Linked DNA regions of Callithrix jacchus. The protein of the gene in region 2 purifies or fractionates together with the protein of the main gene of each other region. This does not show direct contact. Links are inferred from orthologs where the notes say so. Each region holds a gene or a part of one and is shown on either strand. Other genes may lie near its edges.

Region 1 (4,538 bases), on a different chromosome or scaffold from region 2:
TGAGACTCCATCTCAAAAAATAAAATAAATAAATAAATAAAGGGGATTTCTTGGCCGAGTGTGGTGGCTCACACCTGTAATCCCAACACTTTGGGAGGCTGAGGCCAGCATCATTTTAGGTCAGGAGTTTGACACCAGCATGGCCAACATGGTGAAACCCCATTTCTACTAAAAATTAGCTGGGAGTGGTATACCCCTAGAATCCCAGCTATTCAGGAGGGTGAGGCAGGAAAATAGCTCGAACCTAGGAGGTGGAGGTTGAGGTGAACGGAGATCAGGCCACTGCACTCCAGCCTGCCCAACAGAGTAAGACTCCATCTCAAAAAAAAAAAAAAAAAAAAAAAGTTTCCTTCCATCTCAGGAAAAACAAAACAAAAAGCATTTCTTTCCTTTTTAAAGTGGCTACAAAATTTGTTCACATAAGAAGATAGGACTAACAGGGGTTATCTTATATAGCATTGTCCCTCAAGTCTTTGAATTGTCTGTTAAAATCAGTTATCATTAAAAATTATATTTAGTGGCCAGAATGGTGGCTCAATCCTGTAATCCCAGCACTTTGAGATGCTGATGTGGGAGGACCGCTTGAGCCCAGGAGTTCGAGACCAGCCTGGGCAACATGGAGAGATCTCATCTCTACAAATAGTAATTTAAAAATAGCTAGTTGTGGGGGCGAACGTCTGTGGTTCTAGCTACTCTAGAGGCTAAAGTCGGAATCGTTTGAGCCTAGGCTGTGAAGGATACAGCCCTTATCCCACCAGTGCACTCCAGCCTGGGTGACAGGGCGAGACCCTGTCTTTAAAATATATATATATATATTTAATGTCCCACAATTCGATACAAACCTCCTTCAATTTTGATGAAAGCTAAGAATTGGAAACCATTTATAAAGGTTACTTGGTCTCAGGCCCTTCTCCCTCTCAAACACATAAGCACAGATACCTTTGGGGCTGGATTAGCATTTGCGTTGGGATCCACGGCGGGGAGGTAACAGGATAGGAACCAACAAAAACATAACCAAGCTGGTCTCGTTGATGCCTACCCTAGAATTCGGGGACATTCCTAGATCCTACAGGAAAGCGCCGGAGCGCCTGACTCAAGCTGGCCTGACCCTTGGCGCATCTGCACGCCCGAAGCCTGTCCCTGGGGCACGAAGAGAGCAGCTTTCGGGTTAAAGGGGCCGCGGGACCAGAGGGAGCGGGAAGGTGGTTCCCGCTGGGCACTGACCAGACTGCCAGGCCGCGGGGCTAGGTCCCGCAACATTCAGAAGAACTGTACTAAGGCAGAACTGTACTTTTACTCGACAGCGTGGAGAGGCCGCTTAGAACAGCGGCAGCAGAGGGGAAGTCGGCTCAGGTCACAGATGGCTTCACTCTCGGAGACTTGGCCTAGAACTTGGAGGCCCGCCGCCCCCGCGCACGCTCGCTTCAGGTCACCCACTCCCCACCGCAGACCCTGCGCCGTTATCTGCCTGACTGACAGCCTGGCCAGCCAATGACCTTTGGGGCTGCCAAAGCCCCTGCCTCCAAGAGTTAGGCGGGGCGAGTAGGTGCAATGACAAACATTTAACCCAATAGCGAAGAGCTTTTAGACGCTACGGCCGCAACAACCAATGAGAAGAAAGAACCCTTTCGAAAGGACGTGTGAGGCAACCAACTGCTGGTGCCGCTGCGGGGGTCCTGTGGCTTCCGTTCCGAGAGGGCGGGGCGGCGTCCCAAAACGGAAGGTGGTTGTCGTCTGTGCCCAAGCTGGTTTGAAACTAGGGGTCGGGCTCGGCCGTCGTCGTTGTTTGTTGTCGCAGCTCCGCTTCCGGGGGTAGGCCGTTCCTGACCGCCTCCTCCGCTACTCCCTTTGGACCCATCGGTCTCAGGCCCGGCTCCCCGCCCGACTCGTACCCCGCACGCCGCAGCCCGCTGTTGACCCGGCCCGCACTGCTGCCCTGCAGCCACCATGTCCCTGCACGGCAAACGGAAGGAGATCTACAAGTATGAAGCGCCCTGGACTGTCTACGCGATGAACTGGAGTGTGCGGCCCGATAAGCGCTTTCGCTTGGCTCTGGGCAGCTTCGTGGAGGAGTACAACAACAAGGTGGGCCGGGCAGGGGCTCGGAACCCAGCTGGCGGGGAGCGGGCCCCGGGAGCGCCCTTTCCGGGCCGGAGCCCAGGCCCCAGAACCCTCTTACGGACTTGCCTTAGAGGCACGGAGCGGTTCCTCTGTCTCGCCCAGTGTTGAAGGTTTCGTATTCGTTGTCTGTCATGTAATCCAGACAGCATTTTTGTGTAGTCGACAGTGTAGTGGGGCAGCTGAGGTACGGTTTTGTAACTTGCCTGGGTCACGCAGCTATTTCGTGGTGGAAACAGGTCTAAACCCACGCCGTTTATTCCTCCCGTGCCCTCCACTCCTGCAGCATTGCTTTCGTTGGTGGGCGGGGAAGGAAAGAGGCAGTGATAGCTGTGAAGGAAAATGCAGGCGCTTCCATTGATGGTCGTGCACTCGTGGCCACACTACATTTCTATTAAGGCGATTTATTGTACAGGCTTCCCCGCCCCTTACTCCCACCCCCCGGTACTCATGTATCCTAGCCCTTCTGCCAAAATTACTGTTGTCCTTGATTCCTGATACGCATTCTCTCTAAAGCAATCTCTTTGGAAATCTTGGCCTGTGGCATGATCCCGCCATTGTTTCCTGAACAGAGAAGGATGACAGGGCCTTATCTCTTGGTTTGTTTCATGCTAGTACAGTTGTGTAACTTGTAGTAGTAAGTCTTGCTGGACATCCATCAATTTGAGAATGCTTTATAGAAGCATGGTGTAGAGGGGAGCTTTTAAACTGGCATTGCAATGTTATTTTTGAAAGTTGAATAAGTGGCAAGAATTTTCTTTCCTTTCTGTCTTCCTTTTATTCAGTTACAGTTGTGAATGATAGCGATCAGAGCCACTGAAAGCCGTGACTAGTGATACTTAAAGCTACTACTCCTGCTCTGTGCCATGAACATCAGATTTAAGAAGAATGAAACCGTGTTCAGTGACAAGGCTGATGCAGGGGGAAAAAAGCCAGGTGGTCTAGGAGCGGGTCCCATCTGGTTATTGACTAGCTGTGAGGTGTTGCACAGGCCTGTTTTATTATCTGTGACCCACAGTTTGCTGTAGGAAAGGGATTCTGGTTTACATGTGAAGGTCTTGTAAAAAAAAAAATTTGAACATTTTACAGTTTGTTTACAGTTTTTCAGGAGCACATTTGTGTCTCGGAGTAGGTCGTCTTTGGAGTCCCCTTTGAGAAGCTGATGAAAGCGATGGACTCTCACTGTCTGTACATTACACATACATGAACAATTTACAAACAAATCCCAAGGAATATGCACTGATCTTTAAATCCACCCACTTTATTTGCTATCTCTGATGCTTCTTTCTTCCTTATGGCCCATAGTGGACAGCAGAACTGGGAATGGGATTCAAGGTTCTGATGTGGACACCGGGTTAGTAAAAGTAAGACCACTAGAACTATTGTTTAAGGATACACGTGGAAAATAAAAAAGCACGTCTTTTAAAGGGCTTGAGTCTTTTCACACAAATTAATGTTTTTTTCTTGTAAGTTTTTCCAGGGTCATTGGGTAAACAATAGTCCCATTTCCCAGAGAGGAGAAACTGAGCCACAGTTAGGCTGCTGGTAGAATCAGTGGATTAATTGGTGTCAAACTGCCATTGCGGGAACTCTACCCCAAAGTTTGTCCTTTCATTTAGCAACTATCTGAAGCTTTCTCTTTGCGCCAGGCACACAGGTAGCGTGGCTTAGTAGTGAAATGCAAACTAATAATGCCAGTATCAACAGCATAAGCAATTAACTGTATCTTAACTCAAATGATATAGCCAATGGTCATCTGATACCAATAGACCCCTTCTCACAGTTCTATTTTCAAATGCATGAAACACATAGAGTTACAAAAGAAACCACTTACATTGCGCTACAGATGTAAACGTTTTTTAAAAGTGGCGATGTAGTCATATGTACTTTTAATAAATTAACTCATTGATTTATACCGTCCAGTGTAATTGTTAACATAATTTTGAAGTGGTGACAAGGGTTACCAGGTTTTCAAGATGTTGAACAATGGCTCCGTGATGGGGAAAAAATATTTCTCTTGCTGGCAAAGTCACAGGTACTCATGCCACTGTGAGTAGCTAACCCTATTTGTAATTGAAACAAAAAATTTTAGCTAGAGGTTAATGGAAATATGAGTGTACTTCTCCAATTCAAGTTCACAGACCCCAAGTTAAGAAACCCTGCGAGAGAGGATTGTGTCTAGTGGCTGGTGAGCAGCAAATCCTGCCTTAAAGCAGTGATTCTCAGGCTAAGTTTGTGAGAAACCCTGCCAGAGAGGTAGCCGACTTCATAATTTGAAGGAACTTTAGAATTATTGGTTGGAATTTTTAGACCATCGGTTCCTGCTTGCCATGGATAGTGATTGCCAGCAGAGGACGAAGTAAATGGGCACAGCAAATTAACATTGATGAAAAAGGCTAGAAATGGTCATCTTTTTAGTG
Region 2 (3,809 bases):
TTCAGAGAATTTTTTTAAAAAATCACTTTCCAGTTTTAGCTAGCAAGCCTCAATGGCTGACAGTGACATCATTTACCACCAACTTTAACAGTGACCAACTACAGCTGGGTGTAGGCCAGCTATCAGGACCAGTGTAAACGAGGAGGATGTTAGATACTGCTGGATTTCCAGCTCCTCAGTGCCAGGCATTCCAAACTCGCATTGGCCACAAGAAAGCAGAAACACCAGGATCACTGGGGACTAAACTGAGAAGACCAGGTGGGTGCTTTCAGTCATCTCCTTAGTGGACTTCCAAGGGATCACCAGAGTTTAAAGAGCATGAGAGACCTCCCTAAACACCCCCCTCAGTCTTGAGTAAGAGGGAACAGAAGACTAAACCAAAAGAATATGGAGGTAGAAGGGGCAGAAAAGGTAATGTAATCCATTTACTCAAACCAGTGAAACCCTGGGAGCAGTATCTGACTAGGCCAAGGCTAAATAAGATGATGCCGGAAAGCAACTCCCTATTGTCCAGCCACTTCTGGAACGAAGAATGCAACCACAGTCAAACTTCCAGACAGGGGCCACTCTAGTGCAGCTCACCCTAGGATGCTCGTCTCCTTGTTGGACAAGTGCATGCAAAGCTAAAATTCTGAGCTACAGCCAGACATGTAAGTACTGTGCCAAAATAATTTACAAACTTAATCCTAAATCTGACACTTTATTTAAATAGCCTCCAGTGAGAAGACAGTGGGCCAATTACTACCCCTTCATTGCAAAATCATGTAACCAAACCAAGGAGAATAAGTGCACCCAGCAGCCAGCCAGTCATGTGATGCATGAGGTGCCTCTCAGTGGGGACGGGGACGACCACGGCCCCGGCCAGCTGCTGGGGGAGCATCCACAGTCGAGCGGGGGTTCTTGATGGTTTCATCTACAGACACGATCAGGCACGCAGCCTCAGAGGCTGCTGTCAGGGCATTGATCCGCACCATAGCTGGCTCCCACACGAAAGCCTCAAAGTTGTCAGCAATGTCCTCGTTGTTGATATCTACCCCATACCATGTGCCCCCCTGAAAGAGTAGAAAAGAAAGGAGGTAATATGGAACTGCACTCAACTTTCCTCTTGTAAACTGGTACTCCAAAAGACACTGCTAGGAACCCTCAGACTGTCTGAACTTGATGGCATTTCCCCGAAGAGTACTGCATCTTCCTGTGGCAACATGTCAGGAATCTGGGGACATCCCTACTCCCGCCAACTCCTCCCTTTATCCCTGGACATACCACACCAGACCTCTGGGATCTCCTCCCAGGCAAGCTGTTGTGTTTTGGGGTGGCATCATCCTCAGGTCACCTGAGGACTATATATATATATATCAAACAATGAGATCTCAAGATAAACAAGAATAACAAAACTACTATCCAATCTCTCATCTCATTGCTTCAATTAAGCCGTTTTATAGATGAAGAAAGGGAGACACAGAGGTAAAGTGACTTCAAGCAAAAGTCCTAATACAAGCCAGAAGCAGGGTCATTCACTCGGTGCTGAGCACTTAACAAACCTATCTATTTAATAAATGGAGAAGTTAAACTCTCAGAAAGGTTGAAGTAACTAGCCCAGGGTCACACTTGGTGGTGAAGCCCCAGCAAGGCCACAGGTAAGCAAGGCTCTGGAGAGCTTCACCACTACACTGATAAGCCCATTCCCTGTGGTCAGTGCATGCTTCCAGGAAGGTGCCGCTGGATTCCTCCTGTGGTTCCATGAGGAGCAATCATACGCTTGGCAGAAGCAATGAAGAAACCCTGGATCTCCAATGCTGACACCATGGCTTTCCCTCTGCCCTCAGAGAAGGCAGTTGGTCAGGCAGACAGGCTGGGTAGAGTTGCAGCCTATCTCCTGGGCCAAGCATGCACAGCTTAAGTAAGCACAGTTCACATTCAGAATCTAGCCCCACCAACCCAAACCCTGAACCCGGGGGAGAGAAAGGACCCACCTGGGCATGTCGAGCCCGTAGCTTGTTGAGAATGTTTGTGGCATCAAAGCCGGCATTGTCACACAGCTGGCGTGGGATAATCTCCAAAGCCTTGGCATATGCCCCAATCAACAGCTGCTGTTTTCCTGGAATGGTCCTTGAGTAATCCCGCAGGTACTTGGAGAGCTCCATCTCAATGGCCCCACCACCAGCCACCACTGAATCATTCTGCAGAGATCAGACCACCTCTCAATGTAAGAGAGCCCCTGGTTCAGGCTTCCATGCTGGGCCACTCAGCAAGTCCCTTTAGCCAAGAAAGAGTGGTTCTTCATTCCTTCCTCCATCCCAAACCCCAGAAGCCCAGAGATGGCCCCTGTCTGGAATATTCCAACCTGAGCCTTATGGTTTCTATTTTCAAGGTCATCTGCAGCCCAAGGACACTGGAACAATCACGAGAATATCTGATTACATTAATTCCAGTTTGCTAACAAAAACAAGTCTTTTTCTTCTGCTTACTCTGTTGCCCATGCTGGGGTGCAGTGGTGTGATCATAGCTCACTGTAGCCTCTAACTCCTGAGCTCAAGGGATCCTTCCACCTCAGCCTCCCAAATAGCTGGGAGTGACTACAGGCATATGGTACCATGCCTGGCTGATTTTTTAAAATTTATTTTTGTAGAGACAGGGTCTCACTATGCTGCTTAGGCTGGTGTCAAACTCCTGGCCTCCAGACCCTCCCACCTCCGCCACCTAAAGCACTAGAATTACAGGTGTGAGCCACCATGCCTGGCTAAAAGAACAAGTCTTAGCTTTCAAGGCAGGATGACCTACTTTTTAAGAAACTGAGGCTCAGTTTCTCTACCATTTGTGGGGCAAATCAGGGCTCACCACACCACCCAGGAAAGGGCAGATTATATAGAGAAGGAATTACCACAGAAATCCAAGGTCTGATCAGCTAGGGGGATAGGGTAGGCTGTGAAGGCAGGAGGCCATCAGCCCAGTACCTTGATGGCTCTCCTGACGATCATGATGGCATCATGCAGGGACCGCTCTGTCTCCTCCATAAACTGCTCAGCACCGCCACGGAGGATGAAGGTGCATGTCTTGGCCTTGGGGCAGCCAGTAAAAAAATTGTACCTATGCCCAGGATTAAATAGTACACACATGAACTTGTCTGCCACCATCCTGCTGTACTGTCCTCACTGCCAGCCCTCCTAACACTCTGACATTCTTCACTCAGATTGCCCAATCCCAACTTACAGACATTTTCTTGCAAAGGTCTGCAGCTATACTACTAGGGCATAAAAGATTGTGAAGTTAAGACTTTAGACCTTCCTGTAATGTTATATATATCTGAGCTCTTTATGACCCAAAGGTGAGACTTTGTAAAAAGAACAATACAAGCTGTGTATCACAGCTGAAAGATGGCAGAAGGTCACACGCAGGCAGGTTTGTGAGCTCAGCCTGGGCCCACAGCTCACCTCTCGCCTCCAATCTGGGTTTCTTCAAACACCTGGCATCGACCCAGCACATCTGCTGACAGAGCATTCACACTGGTCTGGATTGAACCTCCACAGGCCTAAGGAGCAAAGAAGGCAAGATCTAGCAGTGAAGGTTCCCAAGGCCAGGCAGCTTCCTGCCACCTTGTCTCAGAGCCAATTCCCACGCATGCCCCCAGAGCCTCTGCACTGGATTACCCGCCCTTTCCCTTGATTCCAGTCAACCCTTCCCTCTCTCTGAAAGAGCAAAAAACAAAATAGAACTAAAACACTTCAAACAGGACAAGTTAAAAGGAGATAGGGACCCCTTCAATTCAGCTTATACTCCCTCCCCTAAACTAGGGTGGCTTTGGGTCCAGC

Evidence for each region.
Region 1: the proteins of CCT7 (region 2) and DCAF7 purify together in Homo sapiens (affinity purification with mass spectrometry; 4 studies listed by BioGRID and IntAct, counting the BioPlex papers as one, with this or other methods). This does not show direct contact. The link is inferred for Callithrix jacchus from reciprocal best matches to the Homo sapiens genes CCT7 and DCAF7.

What each region holds. Positions count from the first base shown.
Region 1 is NC_133506.1:88,827,089-88,831,626, forward strand, and holds the start of DCAF7 (DDB1- and CUL4-associated factor 7), read left to right. Parts: upstream 1-1,718; 5' UTR 1,719-1,947; coding exon 1,948-2,085; intron 2,086-4,538. UniProt on the Homo sapiens protein: Involved in craniofacial development. Acts upstream of the EDN1 pathway and is required for formation of the upper jaw equivalent, the palatoquadrate. The activity required for EDN1 pathway function differs between the first and second arches.
Region 2 is NC_133515.1:41,419,060-41,422,868, reverse strand, and holds the end of CCT7 (T-complex protein 1 subunit eta), read right to left. Parts: intron 3,530-3,809; coding exon 3,432-3,529; intron 3,088-3,431; coding exon 2,955-3,087; intron 2,181-2,954; coding exon 1,974-2,180; intron 1,053-1,973; coding exon 831-1,052; 3' UTR 681-830; downstream 1-680. UniProt on the Homo sapiens protein: Component of the chaperonin-containing T-complex (TRiC), a molecular chaperone complex that assists the folding of actin, tubulin and other proteins upon ATP hydrolysis.